3 linked regions of the Astyanax mexicanus genome follow. The protein of the gene in region 2 interacts with the protein of the main gene of each other region in a pairwise test. Links are inferred from orthologs where the notes say so. Each region holds a gene or a part of one and is shown on either strand. Other genes may lie near its edges.

Region 1 (7,767 bases), on a different chromosome or scaffold from region 2:
ATATTTAACTGTTCTGCTGATACAGTTAAAAAAGCAATGCAATTTTAAACGTACAGACGGATTGTACATTTATGTACATTCATGGTGATTTTCTGGAGTTTCTAATATAAAATGATTTTTAACTTGGTGAAGGAATGTAGCATAAACTTTTACATTATTATTTATTTTTAGTTTTTTTTGTGCTCATCTGTAATTCATACTCATGTGTTATGATAACGATACTCAAACTGTAAAGACAGATGCAAATCCAGCAGAAGGTTTTTTAGATAGGTCCAGTTAATATAACATTTTATTGAAAGCAGTGTGTTTATTCATGGATGAGGGCTGTTAGGCAGCATATTTAATATCTTTAATGACTAATGAGAATGTGTTTCAGTGACAGGTGTGAGCACTGGAGCGGCAAAAGCATTCCAATAACCTCTGCGCCATAGCTTTTAAATTGCAATTATTTTCCAAAAACATAATATAATAGAGTCTATATGAAAAGTGACTGATCATATATGCATTTAGTGATACTGACCTGAAAGGACCGCAGGTTGCCAGACACCTTGACATATGTGTTAGGAGGGATGACTGAGCTATCCACACTGGGATCCTAAAAAATTAGAAAGTTTCACTAGCAGTTAAAATCAGCACATTTAATAAATACAAAGACTTTAACCCAAAAACACTGCTTTGCTCTAACCTCTGTGTCAACCCATTGCTTCACATCCATTGGGGAACCTGTCATGTCATCTACTTTGTACTGAATGTTAGTCATGGATTTGTCTGTGCTTCGAATGATCCCAACAATCGTGACCTAGGCAGCACAAATAACAATATTTACAAAAATATATTTTCCAGTCAGAAAAATATCTTCAGCTTTACAGTAAAAATCTAAGCACATGATAAACACTACTTCTTGACTGATAATAAACTCACCTGAGCAACCTCAACATCACCCACTCTGAAGACATCCTCTGCTTGGGCCGCAGACATGAGCTGTGAAACTGTGCAGGGAACTATCTGCTGTGCACGTGTCCGCTACATAAAACATAATGGCAGGTGTGTCAGAGAGACATCAACTACATAAGCTATGTCATAAAAATGACTGATTTACAATTTAAAAATGTCAACATTTGTATGCATATATAAGAGTAAAGCCTAACCCCTTTTTTGTCTCCTCCTTGCGAGGCAGCAGGTGAGCCAAAGCCCCCTGGTGACTGTGTGTACCCACCACCCATGCTAGCTTCGCCGTAAGTTCCTGAAAGAGAAGAAAGAAAAAACATTAATTGCTACACTTCAGTATTAAAAAAAAAAAAAACTGATGACATGCTGAATGCCAAATAAAAGGAATAGTGTATTACCCCCTAAATCCTACTTGCAATATACAGAAATAAAACAATCAGACCTGATTAAGTACAATTTTTTTTTTGGCCAAGACAACTGCATATATAGCTAATGTTTGTTGGTTTAAAGACAATGTTTGTTAGTAAGTTCTAGGCTTGTGTAATACAGTCTGTGCTGGGTTAGATTGAATGTATAAAATAATGTCCAGGGTTTATACAATATTTTAATTTTAAAATTAATGCAAATTTGTTTTTTTTTTGTCCAAGGAAAAATTCTCCTTTGGGAACAATGAATTATATGTCTTTGTTGTCAAGTTAATGATTTCAGAGTTTATGTTACAATCAGTCATATATGGTACAACTAACAGCGAAATGCTTTGACAAGTGCTTGCTCACATGAAACATGAAGATACAAGAGAGAATGAGACATTTAAATATATAATCAATCAAAAACAAGACATAAGTAGAAACAACAATAAACCAACACGTAAATGGAGTGGAGGACTACAGAGAGGGAAGATTGGACAGCTGGTTTGCAATATAAAACAAGAAGTTCTCAGTAAGTTGCAAGTGCAACATGTGCAAGTGGATGTGCAACATGATACTGTGCAACAGAAGGGGATATAAACAAACTATTTTAAATTTTATTCGTTGACTGCCAGGTTACAGCTCTAGAAGGAAAAAAAGAGGCCACTTAAAAATAATGACCTGCTTTGGCACCAGTTTTGCACCAGGAGTTGCATAAAGTGTGTAAGACTGGTGGAGGAGAACATGCCAAGATGCATGAAAACTGTTTTTAAAAACCAGGATAATTCAACCAAATATTGATTTCTGAACTCTTGAAACTTTATGAATATAAACTTGTTTTCTTTGCATTATTTGAAGTTTGAGAGCTCTGCATCTTTCTCTCATTTCTCTCACGCTCTAAGTGACATGTATTTGGAGTTTGGAAGAAATTTTGTCCGTAAAACCTGGAATGTAAAAAAAATAAAAATAATAACACAACTTAAACATATACCTATAAATAGCAAAATCAGAGAAACTGATTCAGAAACTGAAGTTTCCAGAGATGTAACTTATTTAGTTATGATGTGTCTTTGTGTATATTTGTACGTAAAAGTTTTTTTTGATGAATGGAAGCCCCTAAAGCCAAGAAAACAATAATATTTAGAGACTTGTTGTAGGGCCAAAACCTACAACCTACCTTAATAAATAAGTACAAAAAAGGGGTCAGAGTTAGTAAAGGGAATCAATTTCACATATGTAGGAGGTTTTCTTTTGTTTCAGTTTTAGTCTGTGCCAACTGACAAACTTAGCAGGCTAGTTAGTTTACTAGCTTAGCTAGGTACGTTAACTCCGCTATATTGTAACAGTGGAAACTTTGTTAGCTACCGTTAGCTAACTAAGTCAACTAGATAGTGAGCTACTGTCGGCACTGCTGTCTTTTATATTGTTGACCAAGTTGACAGCTTAAACGTGAACAGCGCCGTGTTTAAGTACCTTATGTTTTAAAGAAAATATTTACGTTAATGCTGTTTGCTAGTAAACCCAGCTATTAAACCCGCCTTGTCTTCTTTTGCTAGCTAGCTCTTACGCTAACAGGCTTAGATCTGTCAAAAATATTTTAACTAGCGTAAACAAGCTCTTAGCAGAAAGTTATCAGAGCTGCATACCTTGGTTCCACATGTTCTGGCTGTGAGGAGAGGTGTATTTATTATGGGTTTGGGTCAGAAAGCAGCTCCTCTATCTCTCCCTGTTGTTCAGTCGGACTCCGCGCGCAGAACTCTCTATCCGCGCGCATGCGTGACAAAATATTCCCGCGAAATTCAGCCTTTAAAAAACTTTATTGACACAACTGTGTGACAACAACAAAAGAGACCACTTCAGTTTTATACCAGTTTCTCTGATTTTGCTATTTATAGGTATATGTTTGAGTAAAATAAACATTGTTGTTTTTTTCTATAAACTACAGACAATATTTATCCCAAATTAAAATATTATCATTTAGAGCATTTATTGGCAGAAATAAAATAATAATAATAATAATAATAATAATAATAATAATAATAATAATAATAATAATAATAATAATAATAATAATAATAATAATATTTAATTTATATAATGCCTTTCCTGAAAACTCAAAGCGCTTAACAACACAGCCATAGACAGAAGGTATAGTGCATAAGAACAAGCATGCATACAAGCACTTACATGAAACAAATAATAGACATGTGCAAGTATTAAAAAAAAGTAACAAAAAAAAGATGCAGAGCTTTCAGACCTCAAATAATGCAAAGAAAACATGTTCTTGGCATGTTCTCCTCCAACAGTCTTACACGCTGCTTTTGGATAACTTTATTGCCACTCCTGGTGCAAAAATTCAAGCAGTTCAGCTTGGTTTGATGGCTTGTGATTACCCATCTTTCACTTGATTATATTCTTGAACATGATAAAATCAAAGAAACTCAATAGTTTTAAGTAGTTTCTTGATTGTTTCCAGGTAAATTCTGTGAGCAGCTCATTCAGTTTTTTTTAAATATATAATTTTAAAAGCTTAAAAGTCCTTGTGGATATATAAAATACAATTATCTGTTTTAACTTTATATTTCTTGCACATACATATTTTTATTCATGACCCACTTGTATGTCTCATTTTATTGGACATAGATATGCCTCGTAACATTATATTAAAAATAAATACATAAAAATAGGCTACATTATTTTGTAATAAGCAAAATTGGGTTTGTTGTCTGAGGGCAACACTGTGCCATAGAGGGCAACAGTTTCAGAACTTGATTTTAACATTTTGTTCTATAAACTGATAGACCGATCTATTAAATGTAAAACATTTCATTAAAGCATTTTAACTGTTAACATGGATAGAACAGAATAGAACCAAGCTGTAGAAGCAAAAAATTAAGCTAATTTAGTTTTATCTTAAGTACTAATACAGCACACTTACATGTATGTCACTTAAGAACTTTATGAGTTAAAGGAAGGAAGCTTTAAAAGGGTCTGTCAAACATATATCACCATGTTTTTTTTGGTACGTGTTAACACAGCAATGTTTGCCATCAATAACTATACAATATTAAACAATATTTATGTAATATTGAAGATTCTGATTATGGCTTTAAACATGGCCCAAAGTTCTGTAGTAATCTAATGAAGACAAAGAACAAAGAAAGTCATAAACATATGTAAAAATAGGATTATAATTGTAATATGGCAGTTATCAATCTAAGGTGTTTCAGTAATATTTAAAAAATTGATATAGATAAGATTACTAAAAACTGCAGCATGGAACAGAGAATAGAACTGTGGACCATAAGTTGATGTTTATCAGATTCTATGATATAACAGGGAGTTTATTTAGATTTCTTAATTAATTTATTCATTTATTTTAATTAAGTTGCTATTCTTTTTTATCTAGTGCTTCTACTGGTGTTCAGATTAGGGTCGGAAACACTATCCAAAAATAACCTTCTGAAACACATACCAGCTAATTGCGTCCAACTTCCAGAGCTCGGCCAAAGTCCCCATTGTACTTTTGTTTAGGCTGTTAAATGAATGGAATTACTGTTATTCCTGACCAGTGATAAATAGATCATATATCAAACTTTCCAGTTTATAAACACTGATCTATAGTTCACTAGTTAAAAATCATCCTGATACACATGTTGGCATGGGTGAGTTCTGAGGTTCCAGTTGGCCTATCTTATCTTTCATTTTACTATCAGCTGACAACTGCATGCCTTTCCAGTTGGATAACACTTATTCCATATACCAAGACCGGCAGTTACAGCTACAGTTAAACGAGTCTCAACATGGACTTCATCTGGAAAGTAACCCTTCTCAGTGTTTTCACCGTCTCTGGGCAAGGCAAAGTGCTGACAGGTGAGTCAAGATGTTTGTCTGAAATTTTTCACATACTATCTGAGACAGTTCTAGTTCATATTCAGTGGACAAAAATGTAACTGGATCTTAGCTCTAAGCGGAGCTTTGTAAATGTAAAAAAGAGAACAAAATGAATATTGTACCATTTGAAGAAACATACAGATGCCCAGGTTACGTCTGAAATAAAAAATAGACAAAAGGAATCAACTGACAATGTAATTTAACCTTTTTGTGTTTGTGTTTCATTTAATATTTACTTTATATTTGTTATGTTAGGGAGCTTTTGGCACATCACAGACCTCCACTGGGACCCGACCTACAGTTTAAATGGGAACTCAGCATCAGTTTGTAACTCAAGTGGGAATCGTCCTACTCCTGATGCAGGGAAATTTGGAGACTATCTCTGTGATTCACCGTGGGATCTCATTAATTCATCAATGCATGCCATGAGGGATATCCTGCCTGATCCAGACTTCATCATTTGGACAGGGTAAGCACTGTCTTTACAGGTATCATCTTAAAAGTAAAATTCTACACAGTGCCCTGTTTTCTTGTTCTCTAGCTAATGTTCAAGCACATTAGATAAGAGGAAGAATGTAGAAATTGGAAACATTCTATACTTTTATACATAAACCATTTGATTTGAATTATTTAGATCTAATTTTATAACAAAATTAAATGTTGTATTTATCCAGCATTTAGAACTATTTCATTTATGTTCCACAGAGATGATACACCTCATGTGCCTAATGAGGACCTGGGAGAAGAAGCAGTGCTGAGAATAATAGGAAACCTAACCCAAATCATAAAAGAGCTGTTTCCTTGTACGTGCCACACAAATGCATTGAAAAAACATGTACTGAATCTGGTACTAAGCACTTTGGATATGGTAACTTAAGTTGTTTGTATGTTTTCTCCACAGCCACCAAAGTATACTCAGCTCTGGGCAATCATGACTACCATCCAAAGAGTCAGCTGCCACCTGAGCAAAACAGCATCTATGAACAAATACAAAAACAGTGGGAAAGCTGGCTGGATCCTGCATCCAGAGATACATTTAAAAAAGGTAAAACCGCACCTAGCCACCTCACTAGGCAGCAACAAATACAGAACATTTTTGACATTCAAACATATACTTTATCCTCAATGTTCTGTTTTCAGGTGGATATTACACAGAGAAACTTCTGAATCAGACTGGTCTCAGGGTTTTGGTTCTCAACACTAATCTGTATTATGACCAAAACAAAATCACAGAAAATATCAATGATCCAGCAGACCAGTTTAGATGGGCAGACCAAGTGCTTTCTGAAGCAGCAAAGAACATGGAAAAGGTTACATATCTTTTGTTTTGTTGAATTGGAATTCAAGAGTGGAATATTTTTTTAAATGGATTTTTAAATTTTTTATGTGAAATGTAATTATTAGAAATGCATTCCTGCTATTGTCATATAATTGTTTTATTTTTCTTATTTAGGTATACATCGTTGGCCATGTTCCCCCTGGATTTTTTGAGAAGAAGCGACACAAGCCGTGGTTTCGCCCGCAGTTCAATAAACACTATTTGGAGCTAATTCAGAAGCACCATGATATCATTATTGGCCAGTTTTTTGGTCATCACCACACTGACAGCTTTCGACTGTTCTACGATAAAGCAGGTGTGTCACTATGAATAGTGACTAGTAAAAAACAATAATTAAAAAATGTAAAAATAATTAAAAAACTGTTTTAATGCAGAAATGTGATACTAAAATGAGAACCTGGGCTATACTTTTATTCCTGGATTTTCTATTAAAAAAAAATAAAGCAATTTATTTCACAGGAATTCCAATAAGTGCCATGTTCCTGACTCCTGGAGTTACACCTTGGAAAACAACACTGCCTGGAGTGGATGATGGAGCAAATAACCCTGGCATTCGAGTGTTTGAGTACGATGAAAAAACACTTTTGGTTAAGGTATGAACAAAAATGCACAACATTCAGCTTGAAACATCTCACACACTATGTTTTGGGAAATAATATAATGTAAGAAAACACTGAGCATTCGAGAGAGCATGCAGTATTTATCATACCAGCTTTTAGGGCATATGGTGTAACCTTTATTTAAGTATCTTTTACTTATTAGAAGATTTTGTTTTGATGAAATGCATTCCAAAAATGTATTAAGACATTTCTTCTGTTGTATGTATTTAGTTATATAACTATTCTTTTATTATAGCTGAAATTAAAAAATGAAATATATGTTTAAATATATAAAGATTTTCATGACTACGTATAATACACACACTCACTGTAGAGGATAAAGCATAAAGTCCTCATATTCTACTGTTATGTCCCCCTGTCACATTTCCTTATTGAATATGTACAATAAAATGTCTGCTTCATTATCATTTAGGACATGATAACCTACTACCTGAACCTGACACATGCAAACATTGCGCGAGCACGCTGGGAGAAGGAGTATCGTTTGACTGAGGCTTTCGGAGTACCAGATGCGTCTCCAGCATCTATGCATCACGTTTTGGAACAGATAGCAGGAGAT
Region 2 (7,799 bases):
TCTAGAATCCAGAGAGCACTGACATTTAAAACGAGGCATTAATAACTTAAAAAGTGCACAAGAAGCTTATTAAAAACCTCTGTTTACATCCCATAACGCAAGCTTCAGCTCGGAGCACCACCATTATTGAACTAAAAATAACAGACATATATATACATAGATTCCGCATAGCGTAGCAGCCAGCGCCAGGAGGTAGGCTATGCGGAGTCTATGCATACATATATATGTCTATGTTATTTTCAGTTCATTTATTGGCGGCGCTCTTAGCTGAAGCTCCTATTATACTCAATAATGAAATTCTGAAATCTTCCTTTTATTTTCAGTCAGCTTAGATTCACAATGTTTTCTTAGAGGTGGTCATAATTAAGGGGATCTGTACCAGGTTTATCTGGCATAAATGTGGCATTAATGTGGCATCTGGCCCCACCCAAGATTGGTATTTATGTGTGTCTAGTCCAGCAGTAAGACAATCGGTGATCGAAAAAAAAAAAACGACCCTAAAATCGTGTCTACTAAAAGTATTACTTTTTTTTAGTTCAGTTTTTTACTTTTTTTTTACTTTCCTGTCCTGACTTCTTGTTGTCTTGATTAGTAAAATATTATAAAGCACTGCAAATGTTGCACATTTAGTGAGATTTTAAACTCATTCAGGAAAAATATTTAAAAAGGACTACAGCACCTTTTTTATCTGACAGTGTGAAAATCAGGAACATTATACACACTGAACTAGGTTCTAGTGGATTCAAATGACTGATCTATAGAGCAGGGGTCAGCAGTTCTTTTCCTGAGGGACTGGGGGACAGGGATTATAGATTGGCATCAGTCCCAGTCATAGACGCCCAGATGTCAGCACAGCGCAATTGAATCAAGTGTGTTTGACATGGGAAGTCACCAAACTGTGCTGGACTCTGGTCTTTGTACACTGTGAACAGATCCTGATCTATATATCTGAACCCTAAATTACTCTTCTATATTTAGTCTATAAATCATTTTCATTTACATTTCTATGATAGGCAATGTTACTCATTCAGCACCTACTGGCTGACCAATATGACCAAACTGGTTGATGAGCATAACCAGTAAGACCTCGCTGGCTGACCAAAACTGTTCAAACAGCAATTCCACCCTGATGATCAGCATGGCCAAACTCATCAACCATTGTAACCAGCATTACTTCAGTGCTTGACCACCATGACCTTGACCCAAATCCAGTGCAAAATCTCCCCACTCTGCTGACAGGTGCTGCCAGGGTGGTTCTATGCACAGGCCCTAGAAGCATATGAAACTCTTTTAACTGACTCACAGAAAATGGATGGATGGGTTTTTTTAGTGGCAGTTGAGACCTAGGTGGAAATACAGAGGAATGCAAAAAGTCTTGTTTTGCAAAATATGTGCTCTTTGAGTTGGTGACGTATGTGTCACAGACCCTTTAAAAGGTGTGGAAAGTTCACTGTTTGCTGAAACTTCACACCAGACCTCAAGCAGCTTGGACTGTGTGTCTCTCCACTCTTCCTCTACTGATGGTCAGTGATGGTTTGGAGAGACATGTCATCTGCTGGTGTTGGTCCACTGTGTTATATCAAGTCCAAAGTAAGTGCAGTGTTCTCATGGAAAATCATATAGCACTTTTTAATGGAGACACAGATTTCATTTTCCAGCAGGACTTGGTACACTGCCCACAATGCCAAATGTACCAATTGGACTTATATGATATTTAAACTTTCTGAGATACTGATTATTGTATTGTGTTTTAATAGGCTGTGAGCCATAATCATAATCAAATTAAATAAACACTTGAAAAATATAAGTTTTACAGAAATTCACTTTTCAATTATTTTCAAATTTTTTGAGATGCACAAGTATACATTCCTGGAAGAACGTACAAGACCACTTCAGTTTCTCTGATTTAACTTTCGATAAGTAAATGTTTGAGTAAAACTAGCATTGTTGTTTTATTCTATAAACTACGTACAACATTTCTCTCAAATAAAAAGTATTGTCATTTAGAGCATTTATTTGCAGAAAATGAATAAAAGATGCTTTCAGACCTTAAATAACGTAAAGAAAACAAGTTCATATTCATAAAGTTTTAAGAGTTCAGAAATCAATATTTGGTGGAATAACTTTTTATGCACCTTGCATAAATGCATAATGCACCTTGGCATGTTCTCCTCCACTAGTCTTACACACTGCTTTTGGATAACTTTATGCCTGGACTTCTGGTGCAGAAATTCAGGCAGATCAGCTTGGTTTGATGGCTTGTGATTGTCCATCTTTCTCTTGATTATATTCCAGAAGTTTTTAATTCGGTAAAATCAAAGAAACTCGTCATTTTTAAGTGTTTTTTTCAAGAGCCATATGTAAAAAGAAAACGGTATAATATATTAATTACTGTGATTTACCATATTGATATTAATCAAAACAGGGTGGAATGTTGTGGTTTTGCTTTGTGTTTAATACATAGAGGGAGGGAAGCTGGGGGAGTGGCGGAGTCCCCTTGCATCCCCTGTATTAACCCATTTCAACCCATCGGTCACAATTGTGACCAAAAAATGTTTTTTAATTATTAGCCTCTAAAAATGTTACTGGTTAATTTCCCAATACTCTATAAGGAAATATTGAAATATTACAATGTTTCAATTAAATGTGGACAGTATCAAATGTTTTGAGTAAATTGTCACATGACCAGAGCTGTTTACTTCCTGGTTGCATCTTGAGAAGAGGATGGCTGCCTCAAAGCTCCCAAATAAAAGGCTGGTAAAGTATGTTAAAATAAACATAGAAACAAATATTTTTGTACACATGCTCTCGAAGTTGTTTAGTTATGATATATGCATTCGTAATTAGTCAAATGTCTTTGGTGTGTTTGCAGAATGAGTAAACATGTAAACAGTCACAATTGTGACCGGTGGGATAGAATGTTGTATCTAGATGCACACATACTAAATATACAAACAAATTTCTTGTTGCATCTTACCTATATATATTTTTATTTTAGGATGACTAATTTTAGGCATGCAACGTTGCTATCATACCTCAAAATGAGAAAGATGCTATTATAAGTTATTGTGATAGTGATGGGTCAGATATGGACTACCATATCTGGTTACTTTATTTTCTAAGTTACTGTAATACAATGTCTGACTGATTGTTGAACAGAATCAAGCACTTCGCTCAGGTGCCTACCTCGTTACTGTATACCTGCCTATTATCAATTTTTTGTTAAATTAGGGAATAACGGTGTTCAGTAAGGAGTAATCAGTAACTAATTACTGTTATCATTTTCAACACCCCGTTACTGCACGTTATTTAGACGCTCAATTAACTATTTTTTTTTAACTTTGCGCATACAGACAAATATGCAAGTGTGTGTGTGTGTGTTGTGTGTGTGAGTTACAAGGGAGGGGAGGATGAGATAACCGCCTAAGCAATGATTGTTGTCTTTGCTGTTGTCTTTGGGGGCTGGGAGGTGGGGGGGGAGGGGGGGGGGGTTACGGAGGCAAGTAACAAAAGTAACCCAGTAGTTACTTTTACTGGTAACCAGTTACTTTTATAGTGGAGTAACTCAGTTAGTAAATCAGTTTCCTTTTCGGAGAAGTAACTACTAACTATAACTAATTACTTTTTCAAAGTAACGTGCCCAACACTGTTTACTAATAGTATACACAACAGTTTACATCATTCCTGAAGTTTTGAATGAAGTATTTGACTGTAATTTACATTTAGTTGTAAATGTTGTACTAAAATATTACACCAACATTAAAAGATTTGCAGTAAAGTACAATTTAAAATGTTTACAAATAAATGTTTCAATACATGTTACACTAAAGTGATGCTGTTGCAATTTGTATTTGAAATAATTAAACAAGGTTAACATATTTTGAACATATTTTGCCACGGGTCTTAGTGTTCCTATGGTGTGGAAAGTCCCAAGTTCCTGATCAAGTATTCTGTTTCAGTGATTGCTGTCAGAAGGCCCTTATTTCAACAAAAAAACTATTTGAGCAACCTTTCATTGAGAATACGCATATCATCCCACCGGTCACAATTGTGACCGGTAATAAAACACACTTTTTCATCTACTTTTCTCATTTTTTTGGAGGAAATAATTCTTGATTATTTCAAAGGGTTACTAATAACACATGATTTGCATATTTGCATGTCTGGGAAAAATTTGGGCATAAATGGGTTAAATGTTTAAAAGTGAAAGTAATGAAGCGTTTTAAAAGTAGAGGTTTTATACAGTAAATCTCGTATAGTTTCGTCTCTGCTTTATTACTACACTATTCCTGAAGGGCTCTGTGGTGTAGAGTCGTGCTGGAGCGGGATTGATCAGGAGGATAAACGTCACGATCCCCCTATCAATATCAACACCTCGCTTTCGCTGTATTGAAGCCGTGATGACGTCGCCGCTGCCAGTAATTCAGATGACTTCCAGCCGGGCTGTTCCAGGAACGCGAGCGCTGCCCCCTCCGCTGCACACGTACGCCAACGACAGCCCGGAGGGAGGAAATGAAGTCGTGTGGGTCAACCAACCCAGACCAATAAACAACTGGCTCGCACAAACCCGCTGGCGGCAGAGCCCGCCTTTATGGTGCTGTTTCTGCGTCACGATTGGACAAAATTCTGGATGTGCAACGCGATTCGTCATACGCGCTGTCAATCACTGCGAAGTTACAGCCGCCCCGCCCCTCCTTCAAGCCAGACCTCTCTGGACTTACATTTTTCAGGCTGTTTCCATAAAGTTAGGATAAGAGTGGTCGTTGAGGGAGTCTGGTATAGCGTTTTATTCGATATTTACACGCTTTGGAAGCAGTTTTGGTTGCCTAATTCACTCATCGGCGGGTCGAAGACTTTTGCCACCCTTTTTTCTGAATTTGCGAAGCACGGATACAGAGGGTAAGTCAGTAGTTAACTAACCTAGGTTAGCTAAGGAAGGCATCCAAGAAACGAGCCAGTTTGAATTTTTCAATTTTTATTTAGCTGACTATTCTTTGTCAGTGAAATACAGATAGATAGATACACGTTTTATTTTTAATAAGTGGACTAATGTGCGCTGGGGGACTCAGACTCAAACCCACAGATACAGAATAACTGATCTGAAAGTTGGTTGATGTTGGGCTGTGTAGTTCTGAGAACACGATGCTCCTGCATGTGTGTGTGTGCGCGTGTGTGTGTATGTGTGTATACCGTGAAACATAGCTGTGTGTGTCGTCTATATTACTTTGGCCCTTACATTATACATATAATTTATGTCTGATTGGATGAATGTGATATATCCAAATAATTCTCTCTCTCTCTCTCTCTCTCTCTCTCTCTCTCTCTCTCTCTCTCTCTCTCTCTATCTATCTATATATATATATATATATATGTATATATATATATATATATATATGTATATATATATATATACATATATATATATATATATATACATATATATATGTATATATATATATACATATATATATGTATATATATATATGTATATATATATATATATATATATATACTATACATTATTTGGATTAGTATCTATTATTTATTTATTTGTTTGTTTACCTTTACCACTAAGTAAGGCATCATCCCGTCTATGATGCGTCTATGACACATTATAAATGTGTATGTGTGTGTTTGTTTGTTTTGGTCATTCTATTATTATTCTTTAAAATAATTAATGTGAAATGTTTGTTTTTTGTTGTAAATAGACGACAACTAAGGTAAAAATACTAAAGCAGTGTTCAACTCCTAAATGCATCTTTATGGTGTTACTCCATGTGCAAATATGTCCAATATATCTCTGTGTGTGTGTGTGTGTTTGTGTGAGAGAGAGAGAGAGAGAGAGAGAGAGAGAGAGAGAGAGAGATACAGAGTGATGCAGGGAAAAGAGAGAGAGAGAGGGAGAGATAAACAGAGTGATACAGGGAAAGAAAAAGAGAGATACAGAGAGTAATACAGGGAAAGAGAGATATAGAGAGAGGTACACACAAAGTGACACAGGGAAAAAGAGGTGTACAGAGAGAGAAAGCGAGATAAACCAAGTGATATAGGGGGGAAAGAGAGAGAGAGTAAGAGAGAAAGAGAGAGCATGAGAATAACCGCAGGCTCAATCTACGCTTTTCAAAACCGTTACATTTAGCGGGTGGGGGGGGGGGGGGGGGTTGGGGGAATGTCCCATCCAGGCACCGATCAGCAGCCGTTCCTTATCCTAAAACAATATGAACACTTAAAAATATACTCAAATATATACTCAACAGAGGCTGGTCCAAAAAAGAAGGCAGCGAACTGTAATGGTAGCTAGAGCTACATCTTCTTAATTTGATGGAATTTATATGCTGTGTTTTTGTATTTACGTTGTATAAGCAGCACATCACATTCACAAAAATGAGACACTAAAATCTGTTTGAAATCACTTTATTTTTCACCTCCTTTGGGGCTGTCCCTGTCTACCGTGACGTCACGGCTTCCAGTATACTGATGGAGGGAATCCTCTCGTTTCGTTTCTGAACACTGCCTGCTGTGAACAGTGTGTGTGTGTGTGTGTGTGTGAGTGAGAGAGAGAGGAGGTGCTTTCACACTGCACGCCGTAGCCGCGCCGCTGTACGCTGACCCCCATCGGATTCATTAGTTTCTCCAGCTGTAGGAGCAGTGCAGAGAGCGGTGCGTTTCCACGCCCATAAACCACGCCTCCACTGTGCTTAACTCTTTCCGCGGTCAAAGTTCAACACGGTTCAACTTTGACCTCGCGACCAGGTCGGACAGGATTAGTTTCGCAGGGGGGGGTCTCTGAAAAATATTTCACACTTATACTCAGTGATAAAACCCTTGCATCAGGACTGCAATTGAAAAAACAGGTGGACCAGTGTGTTTTTTGCTTGTGTTTACGCTTATTTCCATGAAAACGGGCACACCAACATGTAATTATGGCAGGTGACAGTGGACAAATAGCTATTTCATTAAACCTGAGGTGATGAAATTCAAAGATGTGCATCCGAACAGACTAAAATTACTGGTTGACCGCAAAGTTTAGCAAAAAACAGTAGGTAATGCTGCATGTAATTTTTTCAGAGGACGTCTGAGAAAAACACATACGTGGTCGTTCCAGATGGGAATAAAATCACAGAGGACCCCCCATAAAATAGAAAATTACACCAGGACCCCCTGAGAAATTAAACTCGTCCGGATAGGGCTTTTAAAATAATTTATATTTTTTTGTTTACTTAGACACCCGACAGTAGCAAAACCTGCATAATTAGAAGGAATTATTAAAATTAATCATTCATATTTAGAAAGATAATTATTACTGGCCACCTTATTTTCTGTTTAAAATATCCTTTATTAACCTATACCACAGTTAGTTCTGACCCTGCAATTTGATTGGCTGAGAGGCGTTTTATAAGCGACATTATCAGCCGGTAATGCACCGTAACTTAAGCACTCCATATATTACTCCGCAACATACTTATCTTTTATTTTAATAATAACAACTCTTATCATAATATTGATGGCTGATCGTGTGTGTAATAATGCGTATTCTTGAATTGCTTATTTGTGTGGACCACATAAAATTTGCAATTATTCCGGATTAAGCGTGTTTTTTACAGTTAATGTAAAAAAATGTACATGAACAGAACAACTCAATGAAAATAAATTAAACTTAAAAATAAAGCACATTCAGCTTCTACACTTCTGGAAAAATGCAAGAGTACATACTCCTGAATATTCCTGAAACAAAATTACATGGATTGTCTACACTGTAGAAACACACCAAAATAGAATACTTTGATTGAAACTGAACA
Region 3 (8,042 bases), on a different chromosome or scaffold from region 2:
TTCCACCATTCTCTACTAAGCTTTTTTTCTGAGAAGTCCTAGAATACTCACGTGTCTCCATCAGCATCCTTGGACATGAGGTCCTGAGGGGTCAAGTTGGCTAGTTTCTCCTCCTCCTGCTGGATCTGCCACTGGAAGAAAGACACTGGAGCGGCTGTGGACACACAGGGCGTGAAGCCTTGCTGTGGGCTCGGGCTTTGGAAAGGGGACATGTATGGGCTTTCTTGAACCTGGGAGAGCTGGCAGCTGGAGTACTGGGGGCTGGGGGTTGTGGTGTAGTAGGTGGGCAGGGGCTCCTGTGGCTCTGGAAGTGGACTGCTCTGTACCTTCACAGAGTCGATAGACAGGCCTCCACTGCTGAAGAGGTCACCAAAACCTGTACAGATGGTTTGTTCTTTTGGGATGATCTCGCTGAGACAACATGAAGACTAGAAAAGAAAAAATGAGAGAACAGACTTATTCAGGGGTTTTTGTAGATACCTTACACACAAAAACACTTTTTTTTTCATAAAAAAAAATCAAGCAATGGTTTATTAGAGTTATTAAAGTCATTATTAGAGTCGTATCTATAATGTCTGAAACAGATGTGTAGTGCAGTGTCTCCTGCATATATGTGTATATAAATATAAATAATTACCAGCACATTGTTTTGTGAAGTAGCAGGCCTTTTAGGGACAGTTTGAGGAAAGTCACTCTCATATTTACGTTTTGCAGACTGCAGCAATTGTGTTATGGCTAAAACAAAAAAAAAAAACACAAGAATAAAAATCATTCACAATATTCATCAAATAGCAGACATTAAATGTAGTTTGTCTTAAAATATTTACCTGGAAATTCTGTTTCGTTGTTAGATTTCTGTGTCTGCAAAGAAAAACAGAGAATATATATCAATAGTTTTCTAGAAATAGAAACACTGATATCTGAAGCTATTTGTGATAACCACCATGCAAATGTATGTATATGTGCATTAGTCAAAAAGGAAGCCACCATTTAAACCAAGTCTCTTTAAGTAAAAGATAAAAATCAGAATACTGTTTTTAATTTACACAAGTGATGAAGTACATGCCTACCTGAATGTCACAGCTCCGTTTCTGCATAATGAGATCCCTGACTGTATTTTTCACTCTTACTCCCTGGTACCGACTTGAATGCTGTAAAACGTCCAGGGGAGAGTCCACTGCAGAGAAAAAAAAACACCACGTCATCTTAAGAAGCTCAAAGATCAAATCTAAACAAATTAAGCTACAAACCACATAATAAACAGAAACAGGAAACATTTATACAGTATAATGACAAAAATCTGTTTCAAAATAAAGCATAAAATATAACATATTTCATTACTCATGTATGTATTTGTTTTAGTTCCTCTTTCTTTCAGGGGAAAGTACTTTGTACAGGCCCTTTGTGTTTTATATACTTTCCCTACACCTTCTTACATTGGAGTTATCTTATTCAGTTGGGTTACTATACCTACTACAAATATTTTCATGTTAACAAATTAATACTACTACTACTACTACAAATAATAATAATAATAATTTGTTGTTATTATTCTATGAACTTATTGTTACACCTTCTTCATTAGTTAAATAATAAATGCTATATATTGCCTCTTTTATTCAAAGATTTACAAAAAGAAACATTTTAAAAACAAAATAGTAATAAATAATACATTAATAAAGTTACAAATGTAATCAGCAACACAATAGAAGTGCGTTAATGATGTATGTTTGAATTAAAATTACATTATATTATATACTTAAATATATTATGAAAGCACATTTCTAATATTTCAGAAAGTAAAATAATAATGTAATAATTTTTATTATATAAAATGTTGCATTGTAACGCCTTATTTCAATCAGTTCGTTAATTATCTAAAAAAAACTGTAGACTGCCACAAAAACAAAGCAACTTTTGCTTTAAAAACCTACAGATAAGCATTTGAATAATAAAATACAAAACAATTCATTTTAAATTTAGCAAAAACAATCATTTTTTTAACCCTCTACAGCATTTGATGAGAAGAAATATTTTAGCTTTTTTAACTTTTTGAGCGCTAGCCATTATTAAAAATTAATAACCACTTTAGTTTTAGTATGATTGTTATGTAGTTAATTTAGCTCAGTTAACTGCATAATATAGCAAATAAAATTAAATTAAACCGTTTTAGAAATAAAATGAAAACAAAATAGATACAATAATATTAATAATAATAATTAAGTTATATAATTATTATTATTATTATTATTATTATTATTATTATTATTATTATTGTAAAAATTATATTATTAAAATAAAAACTGACAGAACAACGTAATAGTTTTGCCTAAAAACACAAAACCACAGAGGGTTAAGTTAACCGCTTAAGTTAAGTATAACAGGTGGTGGTAAACTCCAGCTAGAAACAGCCAGGGTATTAAAGTGTTAACTAGGTTAAATACAAAAACTAATTATTAACAGTTACAGCTATTTATAGTAAATAATTAAATAATTCAGACTTCCGTTAGTAGTGTGTTTTTTGAGGTACGGTACCGGTAACGCTGCCCTGCAGTCCGAGCTCGGTCAGCGGAGGACTCGCCGCGCTGCCCCAGCTCCGCTCCGACTCTCCCGGGGACCAGGGCGACTGCTGCCCGCTGCAGCTGCTCGGCTCCGTGGCGGGAGAAGAGCAGCCGTAAAAGGACCAGAGATGAACCGGACTGGTCATTACATCTGTGTCTCTGTCGAGAACAGCTGAATAGCCCTCGGAGATTCGGTCGATAATCATCTTTTATCGCTTTCAGGACTCTGAACACTAACCCGGACTGAACTACGGGACAAGAGCGAGTCCGAGCATTTATTTAACCGGCAGGTTTAGCCCCGCCCATGATAAATAAATGATGTGACTGTCGACCAATTAGACATTGGTGCTGTCGACCAAAGAACTGTCGACCAATGAGAACACGGCTTTCCTCCGCTAAGCCATTTGGTTCCGCCTACTGCCCTAGCATCCATTCACGTAATGCTGTTCATAAACACTACATAAAAGACTCTAAAAAAGACTTTTAACAGAAAGAGTAAAGTCTGACACCCTCTCAAATCTAAAGACTAGTCACAGACTTGGCTATCACATTTTTTAAAACTGTGTAACAGAGTAAGAAAATCCCTGTGTTTTAAATGAATTTCATAAAATTAGACTCTTTAATGTTCTAAAATGGAGTTTTGGCGGCCCCTACTGGTAAGTGGTGAACTGCAGTTACGCTCTTTGATCCTTCTGAGCCACCATCCCTCAGCAGCAGTCTCTGATTCTCTGTGCTGCGGGTAGGTGCTGAGCTCCGAGTTTTCTTAATAAATAATAATTAAAAACATATTTTAGGTTAAAAATTGTGCTCTAACTGCAACTAGATTCTTTCAGAGATTATTTCCCATCATGCTTCTGGTGGAGTTTACATACAATACATATTACATATTAAGTTACAAATAATGTGTATATTAATACTGTGATTTATCATAGACTCACAACTTGGTCCCCATTAACAGTTTATTTTTCTGTCACACTATTAGTTCTTGATATTTTTTAAGAGAATACATTTTGTGTTCAACTCTGCCTATAAGCTTCTTTCCCCCTTTTTTTGCTATTAACATTGTATAGCAAAGAATCACAATTTCACTGGTATAAACTTGCCATCCTTACACCTAAAGATTTTCAAGTGGTTTCACCGTCGCAGACAAATTTCCAAAGTCGGGTTAAAATCACGAGAGTTATGATATAGTCAAATAGAGTCAAATAGAGGTTGCCTCATCTCGATCGTTTAGTATAAGGTGGTTAAGATTTAAAATTTTAGTCAGTCTTTTTCATGTCCCGGCGTTTAGATAAAATCAACCATGTTTAATATTGAGACCTGGCTCACGCAAATAGTGACGTAAACAATGTCAACAACCAATAGGAGAGCTACGGGAAGCAGCAAGGCAATAATATTTTACACAAGTGTTTCCAAATGATTTGAAAAAGAACACATTTTGCAGTTAATATGCCTTATATAGTTCTTACTTTAATATGTACAGTATTTTAAACACAGGTAGCAATTTAAAGTCATTATATTTAAAGTTAAACAAGGTTGTACAAGGTTGAGGCAAAAAAGGGGGAAAGAAGCTTATAGGCAGAGTTGAATACAAAATGTATTCTATTAAACATGTATCAAGAACTAACATTGTGGCAGAAAAGTAAACTGTTTATGGCGACAAAAGTTGTGAGTCTCTGATAAATCACAGTATTGATACACACATTATTTGTAACTTAATATGTATTGTATTTAAACTCCACCAGAAGCATAATGGAAAATATTTTTAGAAAGAGTCTAGTTGCAGTCTTGCAAAAAGTGATTCCCAGCCTTTGCAAAATCTTAGTCTGTGAGTAAAAAGTCTGTATCTTGTATTTAGATGTGAGAGGGAGTCGGACTTTAGTCTATTTAAAAGTCTTTTCAGAGTCCTTCTAAAGTCTTGTAGTGTATGGACAGCATTAAGAGAACCAACCGATTTGTACGAACAGTCAGTGGTTCAGTGAATCAAACTGTTTGGTTCAGTTCAATTCAGATCACTGATTCAGATTTCATCTATTCCATTGTGCGAATTCGGTTCAGCAAATGACTCGGTAATGAAATGCTGATTCAAGTCCAAGTAGTGCTTAAATAAATGTGAATTAATGTACATTTTACACAGTAGACGTTTAATTGAACACATATGAATCAATTCTGAAATAACCAGACTGAACCGAATCAGAAGAACGACTCAGTCTGAGTATGAGAGAGAGCAATGCTAAGTTAGCTAACCATTAACTATAGCTAAAAGCAGAAGCTAAGTAACCTATTTATTCATGTTGTCTGTTAGCTAAGCTAGCTATAGGTTATATATTTGTTAGCTTAGTTTATTCACAGTTCACTAAGTTACATCACTTATCCACATATTTTATATCCTAGTATAGACTGACAGGCTGTTTTAGTTCTAGTTTTAAAGGTAGTAAGACTATCTACTTTTAAAGTCATTCTATAGTAGCTGATTGTAATTAAAGTACTTCAGCTTTTATGGCTGGGCAAAGTCTAAGCCAGTTAGTGTTTTGTTTTGTTTTGTTTTCCATCCAAACATTTTATATTAAAGCATTTAGATTAAACTCATTCTGTTTTGGCAGTTGGGTTGTAGAATGTCTGTGTGTGTGTGAGTTATATATACAGACTTACCTGAAGCTTCATGCTTGGTCTCTGTGCAGCTTTCCCTCCATATTCAGTCCAGTTTTTAGAAGTGTGAAGTGTGAGAACGACGGAGTTGAACTGAAACCATTATAATAATTTAGTGAGTCAGCTTTTATGGGTCAGCTCTGATTGTCCAGGAACATTCAGTAAGGGAATTCCCAGAACTACAGGGAGAACTCCCAGAGCAATGTTTTCACACACAGTTCACATTGGAGTGTTTTGAAAGTTCCGGAGGCACAGGGTAAAGAAAGTATTTTATCTACTTATCTACAGTGGTATGAAAAAGTTTGGGCACCTCTGATAATTTTCATGATTTTCCTTTATAAATCATTGGTTGTTTGGATCATCAATTTTAGGTAAATATATCACATAGCAGACGAACACAGTGATATTTGAGGAGTGCAATGAAGTTTATAGGATTTACAGACTGTTCAATAATTCTTTAAACAAAAAAAAGTGTATAAATTTGGTGTTTTATTGATTTGAACACTAATTAATGGAGCACAGAATTTGTTTGATAAGCCCTTGACCTACATACACAGATGAATTCAATTATAAGAAAGGGTTTAGGTGAACAATTGCCAGTTTTTCATCTTCTCTGAAAAGTGGCAACATGGGAACCTTAAAACAACTCTCAAATGACCCAAAAACAAAGATTGTTTAACATCATGGTTTAGGAGAAGGATACAAAAATCTAACGCTTTGCTTGATCAGTGTATAATGATATACAGTACAGTAGGTGATCTGTGGTCTGACAATTGCTGTGACTTAAGAAACGTACATCTGATATGTATTCATATTTGTATATTTTCCAGAATAACAATAATTGTGATTAAAAAAGCCACAATGTAAATTATGGAATGTAACATAACAGAACTGGAATGAAACAAACCAGACCCCTGGATGAGGCTAGCTTTAACCTGATGAAACACAATGTACTCACAGTCTTGTCTTTTTGTTCTGTGGTACAATGACAGGGTCTGTCAATAATTTACTATATAAACAGTAAAATAATGAAGGTGAATTCTGTCCAATTTTTTGTAGTCAGGTTCTCATAAACAGTAATGTGTAACTGCTAAGACTGTTTTATGATTCACAGGAAAAACTACAGAATGTTTAAATACAGTTTTTCCTCTCTCACTTTGGAGCATCTGTAACATCAGAATCGAATTTCTCAAAACCAGTTGTTTAAACTGCACATCACCCAGTCACTTGTGCACATCTCAGAAGCCATTTCTCATTTATTTTATAAAAAACAGCAAATTAATGTATATAACTGTCTGCTGTTTCCCAAATCATCAATTGCTTTTGTCATGCAGATCACAATATATTATTATACAGTGAGTATGTACAATGAGGTATTTTAGTATCACAAATCATCTATTTTTCTAACTACATAGCGCCATCTGGTGCAGGGAACGTGTTTCACCTCTCAATACAAAACCCACTGATGTAAAACAGCAACAAATGATAAAGACAGTCTATGGCCTATCACTATTATAAAATCAACAAAAGCCATCAAAGGCCAAAAGATTAGAGCAGGGGTTTCTAGGATCAGAGGTTTAGAGGTGTTAAGCCACACCCCTACCCTAAAAAACACAGACTGTTAATTAATTTGAGAAGAGTTCCTAGGAGGCATCATATCAGAAAAATATAATAATTTAGATACAAATCAGACACACAAACTATTTTGTACAGGGCATAGGTGTGTTCCTTTTTAAACATCAATTCAGCAGATAAAAAGAGAAAACCTTTTTAAATAATTCTATTAAAAATACTTCCTGGAGCTTCGTTATCTGGTCTAAAGGTCTTCACATGAATCTGAATATGGCCCTTTATTCTGGAAAACAAACTGTGTGTGTGTATGGAGGCTGGTGTGTGAGATGGAACTCTGGGCCCCCTATTGATTCCTAAAGGGGAAAATTTGCTTTTTGCAAAGTTTTGCAAGTTTGAAACTCTGTAAAAAGTTCAAAGTTCAAGTATCAATTTTCATGGTTCTAGCTAATAAGTTATTGTAGAGCAGTTTGAAATTTTTGACAAAAGTTTAGGGACACTTTTAAACGGATTCCTATGGGGAAATGTCCCAAGCCTAAAAACGTTCCAAGCCAATTTAATGAGAAAAATAAAAATAAATTATAACTTGTGACATAATGCTCAGTGGTATAATACTTAAAAATATAAAAATACAATAAATACAATACGATACACAAATTAATCAGTGATTCAAAATAGAGGTGTGACATATAGTATTATAGGCAATAATATCACTAAAATCTTTTATTGCAAAAAATACCAGAAAATATTGTGTTATTTTATTTTTATTATTATTTTTATTTTGTTCTATTTGTAGCAAAAGCAGAATTTATATTGTTCTAATTTCCAATTAAATATCTACTAAATACAGATTATATATGTCCAGTATCATTTACAGCTCTAAAAATAAATAAGAGAGCACTTAAAAATGATTAGTTTATTTGATTTTACCAAATTTAAAACCTCTTTAATATAATCAAGAGGAAGATGGAGGATCACAGCCTAAGCATCAAACCAAGCTGAACTGCTTGAATTTTTGCACCAGGAGTGGTATAAAGTTATCCAAAAACAGTGTGTAAGACTGGTGGAGGAGAACATGCAAAGGTGCATGAAAACTGTGATTAAAAACCAGGGTTATTCCACCAAATATTGATTTTAAACTCTTAAAACATTTTTTTGTTATTTCAACTTCATGCTTCGGTTATTCTAGAGCTGTATTTCACTTCAGTCCAAGATTAAAGATCTATGGAGTGCTTTATTTTTATCAAGACATGTTGGATCATT

What was found.
Region 1: the proteins of stat3 (region 2) and rpa2 interact in a two-hybrid assay, tested with the Homo sapiens proteins (2 studies listed by BioGRID and IntAct, with this or other methods). The link is inferred for Astyanax mexicanus from reciprocal best matches to the Homo sapiens genes STAT3 and RPA2.
Region 3: the proteins of stat3 (region 2) and nfkbiz interact in a two-hybrid assay, tested with the Homo sapiens proteins (2 studies listed by BioGRID and IntAct). The link is inferred for Astyanax mexicanus from reciprocal best matches to the Homo sapiens genes STAT3 and NFKBIZ.

What each region holds. Positions count from the first base shown.
Region 1 is NC_064413.1:34,489,682-34,497,448, reverse strand, and holds the start of rpa2 (replication protein A 32 kDa subunit), read right to left. Parts: upstream 3,159-7,767; 5' UTR 3,015-3,158; coding exon 3,002-3,014; intron 1,244-3,001; coding exon 1,149-1,243; intron 1,024-1,148; coding exon 922-1,023; intron 800-921; coding exon 686-799; intron 596-685; coding exon 521-595; intron 1-520. Other genes in the region: smpdl3b (acid sphingomyelinase-like phosphodiesterase 3b), read left to right, coding at 5,159-5,228, 5,505-5,718, 5,955-6,052, 6,151-6,294, 6,390-6,559, 6,703-6,883, 7,048-7,181, 7,621-7,767. UniProt on the Homo sapiens protein: As part of the heterotrimeric replication protein A complex (RPA/RP-A), binds and stabilizes single-stranded DNA intermediates that form during DNA replication or upon DNA stress.
Region 2 is NC_064426.1:26,731,714-26,739,512, reverse strand, and holds the start of stat3 (signal transducer and activator of transcription 3), read left to right. Parts: upstream 1-4,689; 5' UTR 4,690-4,899; intron 4,900-7,799. UniProt on the Homo sapiens protein: Signal transducer and transcription activator that mediates cellular responses to interleukins, KITLG/SCF, LEP and other growth factors. Once activated, recruits coactivators, such as NCOA1 or MED1, to the promoter region of the target gene.
Region 3 is NC_064428.1:19,854,672-19,862,713, forward strand, and holds the start of nfkbiz (NF-kappa-B inhibitor zeta), read right to left. Parts: upstream 3,244-8,042; 5' UTR 2,768-3,243; coding exon 2,536-2,767; intron 1,178-2,535; coding exon 1,071-1,177; intron 862-1,070; coding exon 828-861; intron 736-827; coding exon 638-735; intron 429-637; coding exon 52-428; intron 1-51. UniProt on the Homo sapiens protein: Involved in regulation of NF-kappa-B transcription factor complexes. Inhibits NF-kappa-B activity without affecting its nuclear translocation upon stimulation.